7 linked regions of the Mus musculus genome follow. The protein of the gene in region 6 interacts with the protein of the main gene of each other region in a biochemical or structural test. Links are inferred from orthologs where the notes say so. Each region holds a gene or a part of one and is shown on either strand. Other genes may lie near its edges.

The links.
Region 1: of the proteins of H2ac20 (region 6) and Rnf168, one has a biochemical effect on the other in vitro, tested with the Homo sapiens proteins (4 studies listed by BioGRID, with this or other methods). The link is inferred for Mus musculus from reciprocal best matches to the Homo sapiens genes H2AC20 and RNF168.
Region 2: of the proteins of H2ac20 (region 6) and Ube2b, one has a biochemical effect on the other in vitro, tested with the Homo sapiens proteins (2 studies listed by BioGRID, with this or other methods). The link is inferred for Mus musculus from reciprocal best matches to the Homo sapiens genes H2AC20 and UBE2B.
Region 3: the proteins of H2ac20 (region 6) and Ubr2 form a complex in vitro, tested with the Homo sapiens proteins (2 studies listed by BioGRID, with this or other methods). The link is inferred for Mus musculus from reciprocal best matches to the Homo sapiens genes H2AC20 and UBR2.
Region 4: of the proteins of H2ac20 (region 6) and Usp16, one has a biochemical effect on the other in vitro, tested with the Homo sapiens proteins (2 studies listed by BioGRID). The link is inferred for Mus musculus from reciprocal best matches to the Homo sapiens genes H2AC20 and USP16.
Region 5: of the proteins of H2ac20 (region 6) and Mysm1, one has a biochemical effect on the other in vitro, tested with the Homo sapiens proteins (2 studies listed by BioGRID). The link is inferred for Mus musculus from reciprocal best matches to the Homo sapiens genes H2AC20 and MYSM1.
Region 7: of the proteins of H2ac20 (region 6) and Kat2a, one has a biochemical effect on the other in vitro, tested with the Homo sapiens proteins (2 studies listed by BioGRID). The link is inferred for Mus musculus from reciprocal best matches to the Homo sapiens genes H2AC20 and KAT2A.

Annotation. Positions count from the first base shown.
Region 1 is NC_000082.6:32,297,961-32,301,460, reverse strand, and holds the end of Rnf168 (E3 ubiquitin-protein ligase RNF168), read right to left. Parts: intron 3,074-3,500; coding exon 2,135-3,073; 3' UTR 19-2,134; downstream 1-18. UniProt on the Homo sapiens protein: E3 ubiquitin-protein ligase required for accumulation of repair proteins to sites of DNA damage. Acts with UBE2N/UBC13 to amplify the RNF8-dependent histone ubiquitination.
Region 2 is NC_000077.6:51,984,638-51,987,564, forward strand, and holds the end of Ube2b (ubiquitin-conjugating enzyme E2 B), read right to left. Parts: intron 2,174-2,927; coding exon 2,045-2,173; 3' UTR 501-2,044; downstream 1-500. UniProt on the Homo sapiens protein: E2 ubiquitin-conjugating enzyme that accepts ubiquitin from the ubiquitin-activating enzyme E1 and transfers it to a E3 ubiquitin-protein ligase. In vitro catalyzes 'Lys-11'-, as well as 'Lys-48'- and 'Lys-63'-linked polyubiquitination.
Region 3 is NC_000083.6:46,927,791-46,930,532, reverse strand, and holds the end of Ubr2 (E3 ubiquitin-protein ligase UBR2), read left to right. Parts: intron 1-32; coding exon 33-174; 3' UTR 175-2,242; downstream 2,243-2,742. UniProt on the Homo sapiens protein: E3 ubiquitin-protein ligase which is a component of the N-end rule pathway.
Region 4 is NC_000082.6:87,464,985-87,468,484, reverse strand, and holds part of Usp16 (ubiquitin carboxyl-terminal hydrolase 16), read right to left. Parts: intron 2,233-3,500; coding exon 2,129-2,232; intron 1-2,128. UniProt on the Homo sapiens protein: Specifically deubiquitinates 'Lys-120' of histone H2A (H2AK119Ub), a specific tag for epigenetic transcriptional repression, thereby acting as a coactivator.
Region 5 is NC_000070.6:94,976,301-94,980,416, forward strand, and holds the start of Mysm1 (histone H2A deubiquitinase MYSM1), read right to left. Parts: upstream 2,801-4,116; 5' UTR 2,766-2,800; coding exon 2,704-2,765; intron 1-2,703. UniProt on the Homo sapiens protein: Metalloprotease with deubiquitinase activity that plays important regulator roles in hematopoietic stem cell function, blood cell production and immune response.
Region 6 is NC_000069.6:96,219,913-96,222,103, reverse strand, and holds H2ac20 (histone H2A type 2-C), read left to right. Parts: upstream 1-1,223; 5' UTR 1,224-1,259; coding exon 1,260-1,649; 3' UTR 1,650-1,691; downstream 1,692-2,191. Other genes in the region: H2bc21 (histone H2B type 2-E), read right to left, coding at 558-938; H2ac21 (histone H2A type 2-B), read right to left, coding at 1,796-2,188. UniProt on the Homo sapiens protein: Core component of nucleosome. Nucleosomes wrap and compact DNA into chromatin, limiting DNA accessibility to the cellular machineries which require DNA as a template.
Region 7 is NC_000077.6:100,709,668-100,713,851, reverse strand, and holds the start of Kat2a (histone acetyltransferase KAT2A), read left to right. Parts: upstream 1-1,384; 5' UTR 1,385-1,447; coding exon 1,448-1,771; intron 1,772-1,915; coding exon 1,916-2,039; intron 2,040-2,373; coding exon 2,374-2,519; intron 2,520-2,622; coding exon 2,623-2,712; intron 2,713-2,948; coding exon 2,949-3,130; intron 3,131-3,215; coding exon 3,216-3,407; exon of another isoform or gene 3,408-3,602; intron 3,603-4,184. UniProt on the Homo sapiens protein: Protein lysine acyltransferase that can act as a acetyltransferase, glutaryltransferase, succinyltransferase or malonyltransferase, depending on the context.

The sequences.
Region 1 (3,500 bases), on a different chromosome or scaffold from region 6:
AATGAACATGAGAGCCAATTTTTATTAATCATTCTTTTAATTTTTTTTTTTAAGAACTGAGATGCCCTTGCCTCTGACATGCTGGAATTAGGCTGTGCCATCATGCCAGGCATCTTTTTTTCAAATCTGCACAGCTTTAATACTCTAATATTTTCCAACAAAAATGAGGAAAAAGCAGTTCACTAATGACCAATTTAAAAAATCTAATGCTAACACAAAGGTATCAACAGTAAGAATAACAGAGAGCTAACAGAGAAACTAAAAACCTGAAAACAACTTCAATCAGGATGATTGCCCACGGACAAACTGGTGGTAAATATATAAACTCTCACTATACCATACAGGAATGTTCTTCTTAGTCCCTTTTTGGTCATGAACTATTTCACAAAGATTGAATGTGATAATATCTAATTTGAAGTCCCATCACTATCTTCCTAAAGCATTAAGTTAAATTGCTTTTAGAGGAAAAAAAAATTGCCAAGATAAACATAAAAAAAGTTTTAAAACTCGGAAGAAAAAATTCAAATGACAAAAATGTGGAAAAAGCCAAACACTGCATTAGGACAGTTTATTATGTTCACAGGAAATAAATGGAGCCAAGACACCAGAAGAGAATCTACTGAAACTACAGCTTGCTAAGTTGTCTTAACAAAAGATAGAAGCTCAACTTGACAAGATTCGTCTGGATCCCAGGGTAATGCAAGACAAACCCACACCATTTTCCATCTGTGCGCACATACAAGCATGTGTCTGAGCCAGTAAGCAGCGAGGATGGTAAAGCCAGGTGTTCGACAGCAGAGCGTAGTATCATTTTCTTACAATAATTTATTTGTTTCTAGACAAGATCAGTAAAAATATACCAATTCGCCCTCTCACACCAAGATGCCATGGAGGGAAAAGCTGTAAACTCTAAATATTTTCTGCCACTTAAAGGGATTAAAGAGAATGTTCTGCTACAAGAAGCCTGAAGTCCATGTTGGACCCAGTTTCTGATTACCCATTCAGTTCCAGGGATTCCCTACCTACCAATCCACCACTCAGCCCATGCCACTCTTAAACCCTTGCATTAACAATCTAGCAGTGGGGCTGTAGAGATGGCTCAGCAGGTAAGAGTGCTGCTGAAGGTCCTAAGTTCAAATCCCAGCAACCACACGGTGGCTCACAACCACTCGTAATGAGATCTAATACCCTCTTCTGGTCTGTCTGAAGTCAGCTACAGTGTACTTATGTATAATAATAAAATCTTTTTTTTTTCTTTTCTTTTCTTTTTTTTTGAGGCAGGGTTTCTCTGTATAGCCCTGGCTGTCCTGGAACTCACTCTGTAGACCAGGCTGGCCTCGAACTCAGAAATCTGCCTGCCTCTGCCTCCCGAGTGCTGGGATTAAAGGCGTGCGCCACCACACCCGGCTTTTTTTTTTTTAATAAATCTTTAAAAAAAACAAACAATCTAGCAGCTATTCTGTAACTAATTGATGTTGATACTTACCTGTTTTTTTTAAAGATTTATTTATTATATGTAAGTACACTGTAGCTGTCTTCAGACAGGCCAGAAGAGGGCATCAGATCTCATTATGGATGGTTGTGAGCCATCATGTGGTTGCTGGGATTTGAACTTGCGACCTTCAGAAGAGCAGCTGACCTTCAGAAGAGCAGTCTGCGCTCTTAACCGCTGAGCCATCTCTCCAGTCCGATACTTACCTATTTTAATTCAAAGGAAATGCTAAAATGCTTAGAATTAAAACTATGAAGGGAACTAATTAGTGTTATGGAAGATACCTGTGTGGACTCCTTACCCATTCATTTAAAAAAAAAAAGAGGGAAAAAAAAGGCTATAAAAGTTTTGGAAAGGGAAGTGGCACCTGAAGATGTACTGACCAAGGTGTTTTTATACCTGTAAAGATGCCACACTTAGAACACTGCAGTTATTGACAATGGAAACAATTCCCAAGGTTGTTTCCTACTAGCCGTCTTTTGTAGAAACACATTTGTAAATTCTTCCTTTGTAACCAAACCTCAGAGAGTAAGCAAGCTTGCTGAGCAGAATGTGAGACATCTCAGGATATTAGGACAGAAGAGCTAGCTTTGCAATACATCATTTCTGGATTATAGAACTCTTTCCCCATGCTTTGCTTGGTTATCTCTGAAACATTTGAACAATGCTTCTCTGGGACTTTCTATGCTGTACGGTATAGGCACTTTTAGATACATTACAATTATCTTGAGTAGAAGTTGGCATCTTTGTTCCATTAACTGAATCCTTCCATGTGTTTTTAAAGGGCTCCCAATAGTCACCTTTTGTGTTCCTCGGAGATTTTGAGTGATCTGCATTAGTTTGCTGTAGGGAGTTCCTATCTTTGGAATTCTTCCTTTGTCTATTCAGCAGCCTGTCTGGGGGTGAGGGTGTGCGTAGCTGGTACTGATCTGGGGATCCTTTCTGCCGGTTTGGCACCATTTGCTCTTTATCTACCTCTTTCTGAAGTTGTAATGCTAACAATCTGTCCTGCTCTTCTTGCTTATGTCTCTCAAAAAGCATATGTTCCAAATCTATCAGTTTTTGTGTAAAATTCACTTCTGTTTCTTCTTGATCTGAGGAGGATTCGATGAATATTTTCCTTCTTTTTGCAGAAAAACATGGATCCATGACTTCTTCAAATACAGATTCCTGGTTTTCTCTGTCGGAAATCTCTTCTTCAACTAGTAAGTGATACACTCTACTCTCTGTTGGAACTCTGTTGCCCCCAGTTAACTGGGGCACACCTGTCACAGAGTATTCTTCATTTTCTATTTTACTAGAAGAGTTAACTGCAGCTTCATTAGAGTAAAAAACTGTGGCTCTAGGTCCATCATCATTTACAATACATAAATCATCAGGACTGGTTGATACTGTTTCAACTTTTCCCTCAAGGGACTCTTTAGTGTCTCCTACACATAACTGTGGCCCGGGTATCCCTGCAGAAGACTCCGAACCTTGTTCTTGAGTTTCCAGGCAGGTCTGAGGAGAAAGTGTTGGTATATTTTTTTCAATTTCTGTGTCTTGCAACACAGGGCTCTTCGTGTCACTCCTATCAGTTTCCTGTAGAAAACAAAACTCCTGAGTATATATAGAGAAAACGTATAAGCCAGCTACACTCATCTCTTAGATGAATGGTCACTAGACACGATCACATATTACTAATGAGGGATTCTCATCACCACTGTACCCACCTTTTCTTTTTTTTTTTTGTTTTTGTTTTTTGTTTTTTGAGACAGGGTTTCTCTGTATAGCCCTGGCTGTCCTGGAACTCACTTTGTAGACCAGGCTGGCCTCAAACTCAGAAATCCGCCTGCCTCTGCCTCCGGAGTGCTGGGATTAAAGGTGTGCGCCACCATTGCCCAGCCATAATTCTTTCTTAACTTTATTTTTTTTACCTGGTGTGCCAAGTAAGATCAGGACAAGTCATTTCACTGACATGGAAACCTACAGTAGCTTTAATTATGTTTAACATATGGCCAATAGCTGG
Region 2 (2,927 bases), on a different chromosome or scaffold from region 6:
TAGCTTCTTGCTGTACAAACGTAGCTAGACCAAAACGAACATTTGTGCATGATAAAGTGTATGAGTTAAAGATGCAGATCTGGTACTCTGTTGAAGACAAAAAAATGAGTGACTAATAGATCATTTCTAAGGACTTTCTCCAAAAGTCAAGATGGGCTAGATAGGTAGAAAAACTGAACAGCTGGCTCACCACCTGACACCACTCCCTTTAACTGTTTACCAAGTAAGTACTTGAAATGTTTTCAAATGGATGAAGAAAACAGCTAAGAATAAATATGGTGCGGACATACCCAGGATAGTGTTTAGTGAAATAGTTGAGCCCCTCTCACAAGTAATTGCTTATTTACTGTCCAAGTCACCGAAGGAAAGAGTAATGGAGCTAAATACATGGCAGAAGCATCACACATGTCTCACCCAAGTGGCCTGGAACTCACCATATAATAGCAGGCTCAAAACCATGGCCCTCCCCAGCCTCCCAAGGATGTAAATAGGTTATGTGCCACCATGCTAAGCTTAATAAATTAGTATTTTTATTTTAATTATGTAAGCGTCTGTTTGTGTGACTGTCAGTGTCTGATTTAGTCAGAAGCTTTGGAACCCCAGGAGCTGAAGTTACAGGCAGCTGGGAACTGTCTGAAGTGAGAGCTGGGAACAGAGACTGGGTTCTTGCAGAAACAGTACATGCAGTAACCACTGAACCATCTTTTCAGCCCTCTGGAGTAACGACTTCTAAAGGGAAGTATCAGTTCTTATCCATCCCAGTTTTCAACTTTGCTTGTAAACAGAAGACATGGTCACTCTGCAACCCAACGTTCCAGCAGAGAGGCTACCAGAGCACATCTCTAGGAGGCTGGTGTGGATGACAAGAAACTCAGGCTCACTGCAATTGCTGTTTCAACTACTAGAGAGACTGCACAAGTGGTTCAACAGAATTTACTTGTATATTTTCCATTTTCTATACTATTTGAAGGCATAGGATAGCTTTGTATTAGCTTTCTACAATACTGTGTTTTAAATCTATCCAGTAAACTAAGATGCAGTACAACTTGGATACAACTGAGGAGGTGAGAAGCAACTCGGCAGGCCCTGGTGCTCAACAGTTCCAGAATAAACAGGTAGCGCGCAGCTGCATTAAAAGGTAGTTTGCAAATATTCAAGTTACACCAAGATTCCTTCCAAATCTCTGCCTTGCTCAAACCAGCGCAACCGGCCATTGCTAATACTGCGGCACGGTGTTTGGTAAATGGTGATGGTTTTACTTTCTTTTTAATCAAAAGCCTGTGAAGGTGCTGCCACACAGCAGAGGAAGTCAGCTCTGCTCGTGGTGGAGGTGCCAATTGTGAAGTCACAAAAGGTACAGTTTACATGAGAAACGCACATTAACAAGTGGCCCAAATACAGAGCTGGACAGAACCAGACCAGTAAGTCTATAGTTACTCAACTGAACTTACAGAAGTACATTCAAAATAAAGCCGGAGATCAGAATTGGTTTTAGAATCGAATTTGCAGACTTTCTTGATAAACAGAAGAGTGACCTTCTGCAGTTGGAAATGAGGCTCTCACCTGGCAGAGACTTCGCAGTCCCTCTTGCACAGGTGAGGAAATAAGTGACAAAGTCTCTTGCACTGAAGTTATGTATTTTAACAGCTTTACACGTAATATTCATATATAAAAAACTTTAAGTGCTTTTCTCCAATTTAAAAATCTAAAGAATTCAAAAATAAGGCATTCAATATTTGAAAAAAGTACAGATTTACAAAATGTGTATATTCTGTCATGAAAACTCCACACCAACATTATACACTTGGAAAAAAATACAAACAGGATATATTACAAATTTATGCAGCAATAACTTAGTTCACACCATGCAATAAAAAGTACATTAATCAAGATACACAAGCTTTTGTAGGTTCTAAACTGAAGGACTTTTTCTTTTTTTCTCTGCAGAATCCTTAAAACCCGTGGCACTTAAAACTTGCTAGCCTTTCTACTGGGAGGTAAATTATACACAACAACGATGAAGGATGAGCAGACCAGGTGTCTATTATGAATCATTCCAGCTTTGCTCAACAATGGCCGAAACTCTCTTCTCATACTCCCGTTTGTTTTCCTGATAAAGCTGTGCTGCTTGGCTGTTGGCTGGACTGTTTGGATTCGGTTCATCCAGCAGAGACTGGGAGAGAGAAGGAGAGAAGAAAATGCTCTTCAGCTGTGTGCTATAGTAACAGGACTCAGATAAGGACAGAAAATTACACAAAACAGAATTACTTGGAAGTTCCAATGTCATCTTTCGGGTCACAAAACCTTCAGAAATTACATGAAGCAGGTTTCTGTTGCTAAAAAACATAAGCTTCCAAAATAGTTCTCAGTTGCCTTGAGATTTCCCATTTCAAGGAGATCAGCCAAAAACAGTATTCATTAGCATATAAGAACTTCCTCACCATTGAAGTAACAGCTTAATCTGGTTGAACTATAACACCTATAAATACCTTAGAAATTTAATTTCATGTATTTTGTACTGCTAGTAGTATCTCTCTCTATTTTTCTCTGTGTAGCCCTGGCCTCCCTCTGCCTCTGCTCTCCTACAACTAGGATTAAAAGTGTGCGCCACCACTTCCCAGCTCCCAGATCCACTATCATCAGGTTTTTGTGGTGCTCAGAAGTTGGGCATGCTGGATAAGTGTTCTACTACTAACCACTGTCCCCTGCCGCTAGGCCCAAACCTTATTCCTGTGGTTACTCACATACGCTTAGCAGGGAGGGAATAAAAGAGTAAAGTTCTGAGGTGGGAAGGAAAATACAGGGTAATGAGCAAGCTAAGGGTTAACAGTCACTCTTCTGGGGCTGGAGAGATGGCTCAGTGGTCAAGAGCACTGACTGCTCTTCCAAAGGTCCTGAGTTCAAATCCCAGCAGCCACATGGTGGCT
Region 3 (2,742 bases), on a different chromosome or scaffold from region 6:
TGTGCCTGTGAGTGACATGTGTCTCTTTCTAGACGAGGAAATCCTTTACATTTATGCCAAGAGCGGTTTCGAAAGATCCAGAAGCTCTGGCAGCAGCATAGTATCACAGAGGAGATCGGACACGCGCAGGAGGCTAACCAGACCCTGGTCGGAATTGACTGGCAGCATTTATAATCGCTCCTCTACTAAAAACTTGACTTGGAGTTTTGTAACACAGCTGGCTTTTCCAGAAAGACAACAGGAAATAAGTTCGGCTGAATCTATTTTGAAATAAATTCTTTATTTAAGCTTTTCTTCCCAGTTTTATTTTTCTAGTCTGGCTCCAGGGACTGATAAAAGTCATTTCTGCCAGATTTTATTGCTGTGTCCCTTAGACGGACGTCCCCTGGGTTGAGAGCCCTTTCTAGACCGGAGTCTAGCTCCTTTGGACGCTGCCTGCTTCAGCTGCAGTAGCCTGAGCCAGTCAACATTGCTGATGGTGTCAAGCTTGCTGGCTGTCCACCAGAGGCCAAAAGGAGCCCTGGGGCCTGTCAGGAGGACATGTCCCACCATGGTTCCTGAGACTGGGATGCGGTTCAGCTCTGGGACTAGACCTCACCTCCAGAGCAAAGCAAGTCAATTTGAAGACAGGACTCGCTTCCCCCTATGGCCTAGAGAGCTGGGGACTCTAACAGGAGAGCAGCCGGCTTTTCATGGCTGTAGATGGTTGGTCAAGACTTTTAGCTTTGAAAGCATTACTCAATTAAAGGGCTTTTTGAAATGTAAAGGACCTCCTAGTTTTTCAGACTATAGCCTTCTGCTCCAAGGCTAAACAGAGAGCATGTGCGCACCCTCAAGCAGACCACAGCAGACAAGTAAGAGCTCGGCTGAGTACAGTGCTCCAAGCCTGCAATCCCAGCTCTCAGGATGCTTAGGCAGCACTAGGAGTTCAAGGCTAGCTCCAACTGTGTTACAAGCTTGCGGCCAGCGTGGGTAACTTGAGGAGACCCTGTCTCAAACCAAACGAAATCCAGAAGGCAGTGTTTTGAGCTGCCTGCCCTGCCCTGCCCTGCCCTGCCCTGCCCTGCCCTGCCCCGCCCCGCCCCGCTCCGCCCCGCATCTGGATCAGATGTGTTGCTGCTTGTCTGCTGGTTGATCTAGGACATTCCTCAGCCTGTGCACACAAACGCCTGTTCTTTTTATTCTAAGAGCAGCCTTTCTAGAACTATAGCTACTTGGTGCCACAGTTACGGCTCTGGCACACCGCACACCTATTTCCTCGTCTGACGGATATCCGTCACATTCAGAGAAGTCACATAGACATGGTGACAGCAGGTTCAGCAGAGGGATGAACTCCAGTCTCCAGGAACAGAAAGGGGCTTTCAGCTTCTCTAACCATCAAAGAACCTCTCACTCAGCCTTTCAAATCACATCCACTCAGCTCTATCCATGCCTCCGTGTCTCAGGAGAGTCAGAAATCCAGACCAGAGGCTCAAAGAAATGCAGGTAGCACAGTCTCCAGGATCATGTGAGGAGCTGCCTCCCCTTCAAAGGATGGACTTCAGTTAGCTCTTCAGCGCGGCCCAGGCTCAGGACAGAGAGTTTGTAATGGAAGCCCAAGCTAGACTCCGTGCTCTCCCTTTGTCTCGCCTTCCCTTGGCATAGTCAGACTGGGCTGTGGATGGTGATGCTTTCGACCTTTGGCACATGCCGTTTCTTTAGATTTTAAGTTCAGCTTCTGTTGGCTCTTCACCTTCCGTTCACAAGGCTTAACTGTAAAGTTATGGGAACGTCTCTAGACTTGAGCCTAGTGCTAGAACACTTGCCTAGTGTGACTGAGGGCCTAGGTTCAGCCCTGGTACCAACCCAAAAGGAAAAAAAAAAAATCATGAGCACAGCTTGCTTCTAAACAGGCTGAAAACATCTGCTTTCTCACCTGACTCCACAGGAGCCTGGGATTAGCAGAGGTGGCCCTGTGTTTCACTCCTGGGAACATCAGGGTCTGGGCAGTGACTTCCCAGGGAATGGCAGTCCTCACACTGTGGCAATGTCATGTCCTCCCCCTACCGACACGTCTTACTTCCACTTGTTCCGCATGTTTTTGTTGTAGAAATGTTTATATACCATGCTTTCCATATCAGGGGAGATCATGTGTTTAATAAATTGGCTATAATTTTAATATCTGTGGACAATTGTAAAATTTGGGATGTATCATATGTAAAAAGTAAAGATATTCAAATAAATGCTTTAGTGTTGACATTGAGTTTTGCCTCCATCTTCTCCATGTCATTCGCACACACGGGGCCCCAGCAAAGCTCCTTGTGTCACCTTGCTGCAAAAGTGGGACATCGATATTAGCCTAAAATTTAAGAAGCTTAAACTATTAGTGTCAGCTATGACCACTAGCCAGGCCACACTGACCTTCTGGGAGGCATGGGCGTTAGCTCAGCCTATGAAGTTTTCCTCTTGTTGTCTGTGAGAGTGGGAAGTCTGGGGCCCCTGGACCGCAGAGCAGTGCACAGCAGGTCTGTGGGAGACTCTCTCAGCCTTGCCTGCTTCCCTGCAGGTCCTTGTTCTTCTACACCCACCCGACACTTGGCTTCTGCGATGTGTTCAAGAAGGAGACGACTCAGAGTGGAATTCTGCTGTGTTCTCAGAATTCTCTTACCAGACTGAGTCAAAACATCAAGTTCTCCATGGGACACTGTCAAACACCAGGGTCTCCATTGGGCTTCCCACCTCCTGGTCATTAAGGCTAACTCC
Region 4 (3,500 bases), on a different chromosome or scaffold from region 6:
CATCCTTTGGTGATTAACAGCAATGTGGAAAATGTAAGCTGAATAAACCCTTTCCTCCCCAACTTGCTTCTTGGTCATGATGTCTGTGCAGGAATAGAAGCCCTGACTAAGACAGGAGGCATAGGCAGACAGAGTTATATGACTTCCAGGCTTGTGTGTAGCCAGAGTTAGAAAAGACCAAGTCTCCAAAACAAAATTCCTTTGTTTAAAAATCAACGTGTGTGTATGCTCATTTTATTTAACAGAGAGACTGAATTTTCTCAATTATGAATATATCACACTATAGTATAGTTAAGTCTGTATAGACATTCCGCAAAACCTGCTGCCCACACAGGCCAGGCCAGGAATGAGGTAAGCAATCCTCACTCACCTTCCAGTTCTCCACTGCCATCCCCTAATCTTATCTCCAGCTTTGTAGACCATCTATCTGCTACAGCCTCTTTCCTGTCTACCTCCATTCCCAGGGGCCTGGGCAGATCTACAGCTTTCCTCCCCGACCCCATCCCTTTGTCTTAGCCTGTCAATAGCAGGAGGCACTCCCTGGAAATCCACTGGACAAGACAGTCAGGGAACCAGGTAGGTGCTCTTCACTCTCCAAGCTGTCTTTCAGTTTCAAATCCCAATTCCATCTTGTCCCCAGCTTTTAGTAAACCATCTGCTGTAATCTCTCCCGTCTCTCCCCCCATTCCCAGGGGACCATGCAGACCTTCATAGCACACCCAGCTTCCCTCCCTCTTGTGGACCCTCTCAGTATCCTTCCTTGTTAGCCCCTCCCTATTTCTTTGTGTCAACTCCCAGTATCTAGAAACACTTTCTACTTAGGATCCAACGTGGCCAGACCTGACAGGGTCTCAACGCACTCCCTATGAGGCAACCTTTAGGCACCCAAATCTCCTGAGATTCCAGAGCACAGGGAGTGGATAGGTCTGCACCAGATGGGGTCCCAGTTCTCATAGTAGAAGTAGACACATGACCCAATCCTTAACCCAGTAGCTATCTCCAATTGGTAACCACTTGAAAATGAGAAACTCAGCCTCACTGGGAAAACAAAAAGGCAGGCCCCATGCCCAGCAGTAAATGACCAACACAAAATAATCCTCCTGAAGGTTGTCTTCTAATGCTTTATGAGAGCCTTTCCTCCCGCACTGGCAGGTCCTTTGAGTACTCACTATGATTTCTAGTTTCTGTGTGTGCGGGCAAGTGTGTCTCTGTGTGTGCGGGCATCTCTGTCTCTCAATGTGGTTCTTGTGCTTGTCCTTTGGCTAGATTTTTTGTTTGTTTGTTTTGTTTGTCCTATTCCAGTTTGGTTTTGTCTTATCGTAGTCCTCTTTAGATTCTAGTTTGTTTTCTAAGGATAGAGAAAGGGTATAGATTTGTATGGGAGGAGCTAGGAAGAGACTCTGAGAGGGGTTGAGGCTTGGGAGTGGAGAAACGATAATCAGAATATATTGTATTAAAAACTATTTGCAATATAAAAGAAAATCAGAAAAAGAAAATCCTTCTAATTCTCTCTCTCTCCCTCTCTCTCTAACAGACACAGACACATACATGCATGTACAATGTCTATAATAATGTCTATAGCTCTAGGCTGGAGTCATGAGAAGAAGCCTTTGACCTTTAGTGACCTTAGTCCAGGCCCTTTATCACATATGGCTAGATCATTTCTCACATCCTATTTAATTGTACCACCAAAAATAAAACAAGTCACAACTAATATTACCTGCTATGTGTAATACTGGAGGTAAGGTTATTAACCAGGTGTGGGTCAGGCCCCTGTAAGCCTGGTAATCAGAAGGCTGAGACAACTGACTCACAAACTCAAGGGCAACCTGATCTACCGACAGATCTGATCTCACAAAGTACATGAATGGCTGGCTGGACATGGTGTTGCATGCCTTAAATCCCAGAACCTAAGAGGCAGAGACAGAAGGATTCTCTGTGAGCTCAAGGCCAGCTTGGTCTACATAGCAAGTTCCAGGATAGCCAGTGCTACATATAAAGACCTGTCTCAAAAGAAAAGAAAAAAAAATAGGGAGGTGGGGCTGGTAAAGGAATCAGTATATAAAAGCAGCTATACAAATCCAACATTGTTATATCTAGTAAGAAACATATTGGTTTGGGTTTTTACCTGGTTTTGAAGTTCTTACGCCAGCTTGTTTTCTAACATAATCAACCACTTGGCCCAATCGGTTTGAGCTACAGTACTTGACTTCCTCGTCACACTTGTAGCACCTATAACCAGAGAAAGAAAATCGACACACTGACGACTACGAGAGGGAGGGACAAATCATAATTATCAAATTACTCTACTAAAAACAATGAAAGTAGGGCTGGCAACGGCTTGGTGGATAAAAGTGCTTGCTTCAAAATCCTGCAACCTGACTCTAACCCCCAGAACCCAGTGGAGGAGAAAACTGATTTTCCACACATGCACTATGGCAATGCTGCACAACAGGGCTCACACATGCGCACATACATGTACACACAAACATATCACACACTTAATAATCTAAAATTGTAGAGAGAAACTGAAAATAAAAAACGGTTTCCGTGAGGGCTGGAGAGACAGCTCAGTAGTTATAAGCATGTACTATTTTTCCAGAAGACCCAAGTTTGGTCCCCAGGACCTGTAACTCTAGCTCTGGGAATCCTATAACTGCAGGTGCCTGTACTCATGAAATAATCTACACACAGACATATACAGAGTTAAACATAAAAATAAGTCTTAAAATGTGTTTTAGTACAACTAAGCACATTTTAAGTCTGGTTTATTAATAAAATTCACCACAATTACAGCTACGCCTAAGTAGACTAGAAATTCCAAACACAGGGAGCATCATTAAAATCATAGAAGTGATCTTTGTCACTTTGTCCCCATATAAGGTTCTAGGAATGGAACACAAAGTCTCGTGCAGGCTAGGCAAGCGCTCTCACACCGTAGCCCAGGGTGAGGACTTCGGGATGGATGGCTCAGTGTCTAAGAGCACTTGCTACAGAGCATGGGAAGCTGGGTCTGATGCCCTATATACACATGCACTTACCTGTAATTCCAGTATTATCCAGTGAGGCCCCTGGCCAGCCAGACAACAAACAAGAACCCACTAACTTCCCCTCAAGGGAGGGAAGGTCTCACATAGTAAGGAGGTGAGCAACTGTTGGGAGGCACTGCTGGGCCTCTGCACACACAACATGCACTCCAATATGTATGGACTACACAGTCTTGTGCACACATCATTTAAACTGCAGGCCAAGGCCAAGAAAATTAACAAAGTTGACAAGTGACAGATGATACTCAGAGGAATATTGCTGCAAAGACGGTTAATCATATTACAATCTAGAAGATACAGCATCATAAATGGCCTGACAATGGTTTTGTGGAAATTCATTATCCTTGTACTATATTCTCATGTATTTGAAATGTGTGCTTCCTGTCCCTGTCTTTAAACTAAAACCAATTAACTCTACAAGGAAAGACACAGGAGGTGCTAGTTCCCACGCCT
Region 5 (4,116 bases), on a different chromosome or scaffold from region 6:
ACACAGCAATAATTTGTATCTATAAAAAAGGCAGAATGAGCAAGAGTGCTGTCTGAAAGGACACTTAATAAGTGACCAGATTTTGGGGGGTGGGGGGTAGAAAAATGACAGAAGGAAAAAGGAGGGAGTTCAGGTCTGTGCCTGGAGACTGTGTGGATGTTGCCATCATGCACTGAACTAGGGACAGCTCAGAGAAAAATCTGAAAGAGGGAAGCTGATACAGTGATGCTGAGGTACTTGTGAGACACAGAAGTGCTGGTAGGTTCTAGTTAGAGTTCTGATCGGAAGCTCACAGACACAGGTCAGTGAGGGTTTAGGGAAATAAAAACAAGTGTTAGGTTGAATTTGAGAGTTAGGTTTGTACATTAGAATGGCAGGGTAGCAAAACATCAACTTGACAGAAATTAAGTCAGGAGAGATGCCAGGCTTGGAGATATCACTAGGAATGGCCACTGAGCACAACTCTTATGGCAAAACACATTTCCTCAAGGAGGGTTCAAAAACATTCAGAAAAGGAAGATGAGAAGAAATAATAGTTGAAAGAAAACCAAATTGCAATGCTTGGTTTTCGTATCTAGCTTTCAGTAAATGCTTAAAACTGGTATGTTTCAAACTAATCTTCAAGAGTTCCTTAAATGCTACTGTCCCCTGTAACACAAAATACCTCAAGGGGCACTCGGCACACTAAACTCAACATGATTCAAACTCCAGCATTACAGGGCACCATTCCACATAATGTCAGTGATGCTCCAGAAGCAGTGGCTGACATGAGGACCCTCCTAATCCTGCTTGCATGCTGCATAGAAAGAAAGAAAGAAAGAAAGAAAGAAAGAAAGAAAGAAAGAAAGAAAGAAAGAAAGAAAGGAAGAAAGGAGAGAGAGGGATGGAGGGAAGGAGGAGAGGAAGAGGAAGGGGAGTGGAGGAGAAGGGAAGGGAAAAGAAAAAGGGGAAGAGGGGAAAAGGGGAAAGGGAAGGGAAGGGAAGGAAAGAAAAGACAGGACATGACTGCTCCTAAGTATGGCGGAGAAGAAAGTTCATTGTAGATAAAAGGGAGAGCATATGCAATGGTGGGGAACATCCAGAGAGAATATGACCCTGAACTGGGCCATGTAAAGAGAATGCAGAGAGAAGCTGCAACAGAGAGAGGCTGCCTGGGCCAAGAGACAGGCCAATAGAGTAAAGGACAGACCAAAAGGGCCAGATAGCCAAAATGGCTGAATTATATAGAGAAGGGCAGCTGGGGGAAGGGCAGACTAACTTCAGGGCTAAAGAAAATAGGGTAGGAGGCAGGGTATGCCAGCCATACCCTGCAACAGGCAAGACTGAAGGATGCTTTAAGAACCTGGAGGCCAGTTCCACTGTAATACAGCACCTCAGGTAATCATTTGTCTCTCCTTTGAGACCTAACATACGAGGTTAACATTACAACATGCCACCAGTAGTCTCAAGTGTCAAGAAAATGGTACAAGAAAAAGGGATGAAAAACTAAACACAACCAGGAAAGTTAAAACGAACCCTTGAGAGAGGCACAGAGCCAATGCTTTCAGGTGACGGTCACTGAACACCAGGTGAATTCCTTTATGAACTCCAAACTGCCCTCGCCCACTGAGGTCACCGATTCTCAAACATCACAAGCACTTGCTCAAGTCTGATATATCACACTGGTGTAGAGTTATTGCTATCTCAGGCTATCCACGTAACTTTTGAACTTTTGAGAAAATATTTATGTGAAGTTAACTACCCCTCATTTTCATCACATTTTAAGAACTCACTGGCTATTTTAAAATGCTTCTTATTCTGGTGCCTTATAGAGGAGGACTGGCAGTCTACAGTGGAGCAGCCCTCCTGTCAAATGAACTATATGGGCTGAAAATGGAGCAGTACTAGTAATAGTATGTACTTCAGCAGAATTCTAACGAAGTCGCTGACAAGTTACAAGTAATGTACCTGGCTTCTACAGGAGGTCCTATCTGGCCCCCATTACTTAAAAGGAGGGATACCGCGTCCTCCTAAAGGCACGTGTCAAATCAGGTTCAGTTTAAAATCACACTGCCCGTCCTTGCAGGCACTGGCATGACACCCCTAACTGGGTCTTCACTACATTATCCTAACACAGCAAAGAAAACATCTGCCGAGCATTCTCCATATGCTAAAACATCTCTCAGAATTATTTCATTCGATGCTTACAACAGTAAGATCGACAAGTGATTCTTGGTTTCCAAGCAAGCGGAGCCTTGCTTGGAAATGCCTCAAATGCCTTGATCACGGTCAGAGTGACAGTAAACAGGAAGAGCAAAAGCAAAAGGCAAACATGACTTGTCCAACTCTAAAATCTGGATCCTTTAGGGTAAGCTGCCTTTCCCCCAAGTTTTCAACAACTTGCTCTGAGAAGGAGGAATCAAACGACTGGACCAGGTCGCTAGCGGGCGCAGGACTAAATTAGACGCCAGTGTTCAAGATGCTGTGAGGCGCCTGAGACAGCGCGAATGCAGGTAGGAATCCGAATTAAACACTGTCCATCGCAGCCCAGAAAGTGGAGATAAACAGTGCAACCTGGGGCACCGGGTCCACTCCCGGACCCGGCCGACTTCCGGCTGGGAGCACCCCGGGTCCCGACGCCGTCCACACGGACCCTCGGCCAACCGCATCCTCCGACCCTTGCCTAGCACAGCCCGGCCCGCAGGACCCCGCTCCGCGCCTCACCCCGGCTGTGCAGCCGCCGCAACATCTCCTTCCACATCCACATCCGCCTCCTCCGCCTCCATGACTGCACCTGACGCAGGCGTACTCGCGAGATCCCGCGAGATGCGGCGGGGCGGGACCGGGGGCGGGCCCAGGGCCGGAGGCGGGGCCTTGGCGTGGCGCACTTCCGGGGAACTCCGGCGAGTAAGACCAGGAGACTGCGTGAAAGCTGCTTCCCCAAGGACCGCATGGGTTATCTCACTTCTCTCACGTCTTACGTGGGCTAACTCACAGCAGATCTTTTTCCATTCAGGCGAGAGACCCTGCTTTGTGGCATCCATTGTCTCTGGTTCATTTTCGCACACACACACACGCGCGCGCGCGCCTACCCGCCCCGCCCGCCACCGTGAATTATTAGAATGACCCAGTGGAATGGATGCAGGTTTCACGGATTTTATTTTATGGATAAGTAAATAGACTCAGAAAACTGACGTGATTGTTCAAACAGAGAGCTTGGTAGATTGATCTTTTAAACTCTGCCCTGAGTGTTTGCCATATACATACAAATCATTGCTGGGAATCTGTGAAGCAAAGAACTTAACGGTTTTCCAAGAAATCAGAGTCTTGCTTCTGCATTTTTCTGCCCTCAAATCTGTCTCTCATACAGTTAGAATCCATGACTCATTGTCTTCTCGATCAGACTGTGACTTCTTTAAGGATAAAACCTGTCTGGTAGTCCTTACACTGCCTGCGTTCAGCACAGTGTCTCACGTAGTAGAAGCTGTGTTGGACAGGTAAGTGTATTGGGAACCAGCAAAATAAACCTGATTTGTTGTTGTTTTGTTTTGATTTTTTGAAATAGGGTTTCTCTGTATAGCCCTGGCTGTTCTGGAACTCACTCTGTTGACCAGGCTGGCCTTGAACTCAGAAATCCACCTGCCTCTGCCTCCCAAGTGCTGGGATTAAAGGCATGCGCCACCACGCCCCGCAAAATAAACTTGTTCTTTTTTTTTTTTTTAAGTACTACCATGTCGTTTTCAGGCTTCATTTAATCATAGGGGTAAACTAAATTCAAGGTCCCAGGCCCTGGGGGAGCTTCTGTTGTAAGGAGACAGCTATTTGAGCCCAGCCATCTCAGAGACAACTTAGAAGGAGACAATTGTCTGCGTCCAGTCATCTCAGGGAAAGTTGTAAGGAGACAGCAGTTTGAGTCCAGCCATCTCAAGGACACTCTCCAGCTTGCTGTAGGGTCAAACTAAGTTCTTGTTCCCAGGCCCAGGAACCAGCTCCTATTCTGATTGGTGGAAATTCGCATGCTCAACCCTTTATGGTCAAAATATGATTGGCCGAAGCTACAGCCTACCCTGCTTGCCCTCCCTTACTTTATGGTTTCATCCTTTAAATATGCTATGTAATTCCCCTAAAAAGTCACTC
Region 6 (2,191 bases):
GAACCATAACCGACTTCTACCAAATCGGCAGCAACGTGGAACATTCGTGTTTGTAAATCAGTAAATTAGAGGGACACCACCCTAAGTACCCCGTAACCGCTGGTGCCCAGGACACAAGTAAAGGGACAGAGCGGTTTCAGTTGTAGATGGCTGGTACCCAGCATTCGCCGACACAGTCTTAGCTGTGTCCTGGAGCCCTCTATTCGCCAGGGTAAGGAAACCATCTCACTTTAAGTCGACAAGTAAATGGTACCCCAAAAGCCTAGAACACGGAAACCGGGCCCAGAGACCCACCTCCATTATCCTAGTCTAAAAAGAACTCCAAGAAGCTAAGTAGGGTGCAGCAAACTGCAAACAGATACCCACAGGGGAACTCAAAACCACAAAGGCTTAAAACTTCTGAAGTGTACCCTTTTCAAGACCCTTGGAGTAACTTTGGAATAGGAACTAGAAACTAATGCAAGTGGCAAAGCTCTCTTCTGATTTGAGCGGGTGACTCACTAAAAGAGACTTTAAAAGATCAAAGGGGCCAGCGAGCGCCTCATCCAGGGAGGCCTCTACTTGGCGCTGGTGTACTTGGTGACGGCCTTGGTGCCCTCCGACACGGCGTGCTTGGCCAGTTCTCCGGGCAGTAGAAGGCGCACCGACGTCTGGATCTCCCGCGATGTGATTGTAGACCGCTTGTTGTAATGCGCCAGGCGAGAAGCCTCGTTTGCTATGCGCTCAAAGATGTCATTGACAAACGAGTTCATGATGCCCATGGCCTTGGACGAGATGCCGGTGTCCGGGTGCACCTGCTTCAGCACTTTGTACACATAGATGGAGTAGCTCTCCTTGCGGCTGCGCTTGCGCTTCTTGCCATCTTTCTTTTGCGCCTTGGTGACAGCCTTCTTGGAACCCTTCTTGGGAGCCGGGGCAGATTTGGCCAGTTCAGGCATGATTAAAAGCAAACAGTGGAAAACAGTCTAGTAAGTAGAAAATCAACCAGGGACCCGGAGGACTTGAGCCCTTTATGAACGCCTTATGCAAATTAGGTCTCAAAGTACTTTTAATTTCCATTGGCCCATACGCGAAACTTGCGTTTTCAGTACAAGCCTAAAATTTCAGATTTCATTGGACTTCTCAGGGGCCAAATAACCACCAATGAAAAGCTCCCTCCTCACCCCACCCCTAGGAGCGCCTATAAAGGCCTTAGAGACGAATCAACCTAGCTTTACAGAAGTTGTCACCTCGGTGTGTCCTACATTATACTCTAAGTTATGTCTGGCCGTGGCAAACAGGGAGGCAAGGCCCGCGCCAAGGCCAAGTCGCGGTCTTCCCGGGCCGGGCTACAGTTCCCGGTGGGGCGTGTGCACCGGCTGCTGCGCAAGGGCAACTACGCGGAGCGCGTGGGCGCCGGCGCGCCGGTATACATGGCGGCGGTGCTGGAGTACCTAACGGCCGAGATCCTGGAGCTGGCGGGCAACGCGGCCCGCGACAACAAGAAGACGCGCATCATCCCGCGCCATCTGCAGCTGGCCATCCGCAACGACGAGGAGCTCAACAAGCTGCTGGGCAAAGTGACGATCGCACAGGGCGGCGTCCTGCCCAACATCCAGGCCGTGCTGCTGCCCAAGAAGACCGAGAGCCACAAGGCTAAGAGCAAGTGAAACTCAACACGAATCCAAAAAGGCTCTTTTTAGAGCCACCAAATCTTTTACAAAGGAGCTAGCTAACGCGCCAGTTTGTGACCAGCCCTTTGGATGACACTTTGGTGGCTCTTAAAAGAGCCTTTTTGTGTGGAAAGGGATAATAGTTATTTGTTCTTTCCAGGCTTATGACTTTCCGTTTTCTTCGGAAGTAAGACAGCCTGAATATTGGGGAGGACCCCGCCCTGGGCGATGGTGACTCCCCCTAGTAACTTGTTGAGCTCCTCATCGTTCCTCACAGCTAGTTGCAGATGGCGCGGGATGATGCGCGTCTTCTTGTTGTCGCGGGCCGCGTTGCCCGCCAGCTCCAGGATCTCGGCCGTTAGGTACTCCAGCACCGCCGCCATGTACACCGGCGCGCCGGCGCCCACGCGCTCCGCGTAGTTGCCCTTGCGCAGCAGCCGGTGCACACGCCCCACCGGGAACTGCAGCCCGGCGCGGGACGACCGCGACTTCGCCTTGGCGCGGGCCTTGCCTCCTTGTTTGCCACGGCCAGACATGGC
Region 7 (4,184 bases), on a different chromosome or scaffold from region 6:
ATCCAGAAGGGCAAAAACACTCAAGTCGCTGTCTTATCTTCCTTGCAAGCGCTGCAGCTTTTGTCCAGAACCGGCTTCTGCTTCTCCCTGGGCCCTTCTCTCACATCAGAGGGCAGGAAGGAGGCTATGAAGGAACTGGATCACCTGAATGTGCGGGGTTACAGCTCCATCCTGGGAGCTGATGGGATTGAGCAACGGGGTTGAAAAGGTCTGGCTTGCTCTGCCCTGCCCTGCCCTGCCGGCCCTGCCCTACCCTGCCCTTTTAAGAATCGGGCCTGGGGCAAGGAAAATTGTTCTCTGGACTGAGCCAAAAGAGGGGGCCTTTCTGATCTTCCAGGAAGAACTATCCCTGACCTTTCACAGTCTACCTCTACAATGGGAAGAAACTGTCTATTTCTCTGGCTTTCCTCCACCCCCACCCCCCCATTAAGGAGTGGGCAGGGAAAAAGATGGAGGTAGGATGGAAGGGTATGAGGTCAGGAATCCTCTCCATCTTCAAAGCTGCCTAGGCGAGCCAGAAGAGGGGACCACCCCCTACCCTCCGCATCTTCAGTGTTGGTCTCTCTGGTTCTTTAGTTCTCAGCACACACAAACACACTCCCCCCCCCCTTTCCTGCCCACTCCCAACACACACACACACACACACACACGAATGCCCGTGCATGAACACACACATTCAACAGCAGCATGGCCCACAACTATGTCTCTTTGTTCTTTTGAAAATAAAACCGTTTCTGTTTAACAGCAACCCAAGTATAGAAAAAGCTGATTGTCACTGGGCAGTGATGGCGCATGCCTTTAATCCCAGCACTTGGGAAGCAGAGCCAGGCGGATTTCTGAGTTCGAGGTCAGCCTGGTCTACAGAATGAGTTCCAGGACAGCCAGGGCTTCACAGAGAAACCCTGTCTCAAAAAACAAAATAAAACAAAACAAAACAAAACCCAAAAACTGATTGTCAAAGTTAATTCATAAGTGTGAACACCACAGTACAAATAGTAGAATTAATGTTACATTTTATCTCTATTGTAGCTGCAAGCCTTAGCCGGCAGCCACAATAGGGCAGGCTTTTGCAATGTGGGAGCCAACCTCAGGCCCAGGCCTGTTCTTCCACCTATGGACTTTAAAAGGGCAGCATCCACAAATCCTCCAGACGGCCAGTGTTCTGGGGTGCCTCTTGTTCCCAAGAGGATAGTAATTGTCACTATCTCGGATGGCTTAAAAAAGATTAGAATGAAGTAATGGTCAAATCTAGGATGCTCAACCAAGCGACATTTGGTTGTCTGGAACCAAGAAAAAAAAAAGTATGGAAGGCCAAAGGATGGGAAGCGGCAAAGGAAGACTACGACTCCCATCGTGCGCCGGGGCCGTGACGCCTGCGCACTGTGCGCCGGTTGCCCATGCGGCCCTAGGGCTGGGAGCGCGGCGCCGCTCCGCTGCGGGGGAGGCCATGGCGGAACCTTCCCAGGCCCCAAACCCGGTCCCGGCAGCGCAGCCCCGGCCCCTTCACTCCCCAGCCCCTGCCCCAACTTCGACTCCTGCGCCCAGTCCGGCTTCAGCCTCCACTCCGGCTCCGACTCCGGCACCAGCCCCTGCCCCAGCTGCAGCCCCAGCTGGGAGCACAGGGAGTGGGGGCGCCGGGGTAGGAAGTGGGGGGGATCCGGCTCGACCTGGCCTGAGCCAGCAGCAGCGCGCTAGCCAGAGGAAGGCGCAAGTCCGGGGTCTGCCGCGTGCCAAGAAGCTTGAGAAACTAGGGGTCTTCTCAGCTTGCAAGGTGGGGGCGGGGCCTAGAGCAAAAGGGGCGGGGCTTGGGGCATCCAAGGTCTGGGGTAGGAATGGGGGGCGAAGCTCTAGCCATAGAGCCGCTCTTGCGCTTGGGATGCAGACAGCATCAGGGAACTGAACCTTCCCCCTCCAGGCCAATGAAACCTGCAAGTGTAATGGCTGGAAAAACCCCAAGCCCCCCACCGCACCCCGCATGGACCTCCAGCAGCCAGCTGCCAACCTGAGCGAGTTGTGCCGTAGCTGTGAGCACCCTTTGGGTAAGGCAGGCACCACCTTTGGAGCTGGGGCGGAGGGCAGGAGCCAGGTCCTGTTTGAACAGGGTGACATAAGTACCACAGAGCTTCTTGGAGACCTTCTAAGGAAATATTGGGTAGGGAATAAATGTGAATGTCCCATGGAAGGAAAAAAGGAGATCTGCCTTGGTAGCAGGTAGCTACCAAGGGCTGATGGGAGAACTGAGAACACTGGGTCTCCCTGTCTGTCAAGAATTGGAGAATCAAGGGTGTGTCACTGGCTAGTTAGAGGAGGTACAGGAATCAAGCCCCGTGGAGCTCTTCTGTTCTTCCCAGCCCTAATGTAACCATCTTGCAGCGGACCATGTGTCCCACCTGGAGAATGTGTCAGAGGACGAGATTAACCGGCTCTTGGGAATGGTAGTAGATGTAGAAAATCTGTTCATGTCTGTTCACAAGGAAGAGGACACAGACACCAAACAAGTCTATTTCTACCTCTTCAAGGTGAGTTCTCATGGAGTAAAGATGGTGAAGCTTTGGTGTGTGTTGGGGATCCTGCTCTCTGAGCTCTGCTACTCCTGTTTCTGCCCATCCCTCTTCCTTACAGCTCTTGCGGAAGTGCATTCTGCAGATGACACGGCCAGTGGTGGAGGGGTCTCTAGGCAGCCCCCCATTTGAGAAGCCTAACATTGAACAGGTAGGGCGGGCATGTAGCAAGATTAAAGGCGACTTAAGAGGGTGGAGAGTCTGGTTTATTTCCTCAAGCTGAGAACAGGGGAGAGGTTCAAGGAAGGGACATGGTGTTTGCTGACCTCAGAGTGGGTGTGGAAGTTGGAAGGGTCAGAGGTTCTCTTCACAGAATCCCTCCTATTTGACATGCCTCTGTTGGCTGTCCACACCTCCTCCTGATTTTGTCCCCTCCTTACTCCTCAGGGTGTACTGAACTTTGTGCAGTACAAATTTAGCCACCTGGCCCCCCGAGAGCGCCAGACAATGTTTGAGCTCTCAAAGATGTTCCTGCTCTGCCTTAACTACTGGAAGCTGGAGACCCCTGCTCAATTCCGGCAGCGGTCCCAGTCTGAGGATGTCGCTACCTACAAAGTCAATTATACCAGGTAAGCCCAGACAGGGCCTTACAGGGGAGGCTTGAACAGCCAGTCTGGCGGTCTCCACCCTCACCTGCCGCTCCACCTCCCCCAGATGGCTCTGTTACTGCCACGTGCCCCAGAGCTGCGACAGCCTCCCCCGCTACGAGACCACCCACGTGTTTGGCCGAAGCCTTCTACGGTCCATTTTCACTGTCACCCGCCGGCAGCTACTGGAAAAATTTCGGGTGGAAAAGGACAAACTGGTGCCTGAGAAGAGGACCCTCATCCTCACTCACTTCCCCAAGTAAGGCTCAGTCTGGCCTCCTGGGATTTTACCCCAAATTCATGTCCTTGCTGTTGTCCCCTTTTTTCCAGGAAGGCTTCCTGGATTGGTCCCTCCTCTCCCTCCATGGGCCTTCTGGGATCTGGGTGTCTACCTGGCAGATTTGCCCATGGCCCAGAAGCTACTTGCTAGTATGTGCTAGTCTGGGGATGGCAGGTACATGGCCCAAGCTAACGCTACCCTCTTTCAGCCCCCTGATAGATAGTTACTAATTAGTTTCCTCTGGGTGTGTGGATATCACCCCAGAGCCCCTCCTACCACAGTGCTCTGAGAAGTCTAGAGTTTACTTTTTTTGTTTGTTTATTTGTTTTTTCCAGACAGGGTTTCTCTGTGTAGCCTTGGCTGTCCGGGAACTCACTTTGTAGACCAGGCTGGCCTTGAACTCAGAAATCCGCCTGCCTCTGCCTCCCAAGTGCTGGGATTAAAGGCATGCGCCACCACGCCTGGCTTAGAGTTTACTTTTGAAGTGAAGCCATTACCTATCTCTGTGCCTCTGTTGTTCCACATCTTCTTCCCATTTGAATCTGGGAACAAGCATGTGGGAACAAGAGGTGACAAGATTGGCTCATTCTAGACCAGTCTGATAGAGAGGGGACTAAGGCAATTCAGGTGACTGGGTGGGTGCCCTGCCTAGCCACACAGCATAGGATGGCATCCGCTCAGACCCGTTCTCCTTGGCCACACATCATGACAAAATTGGGTCTCCAGTCTCTATCCTGGCTATGTCCTATCCTGAGC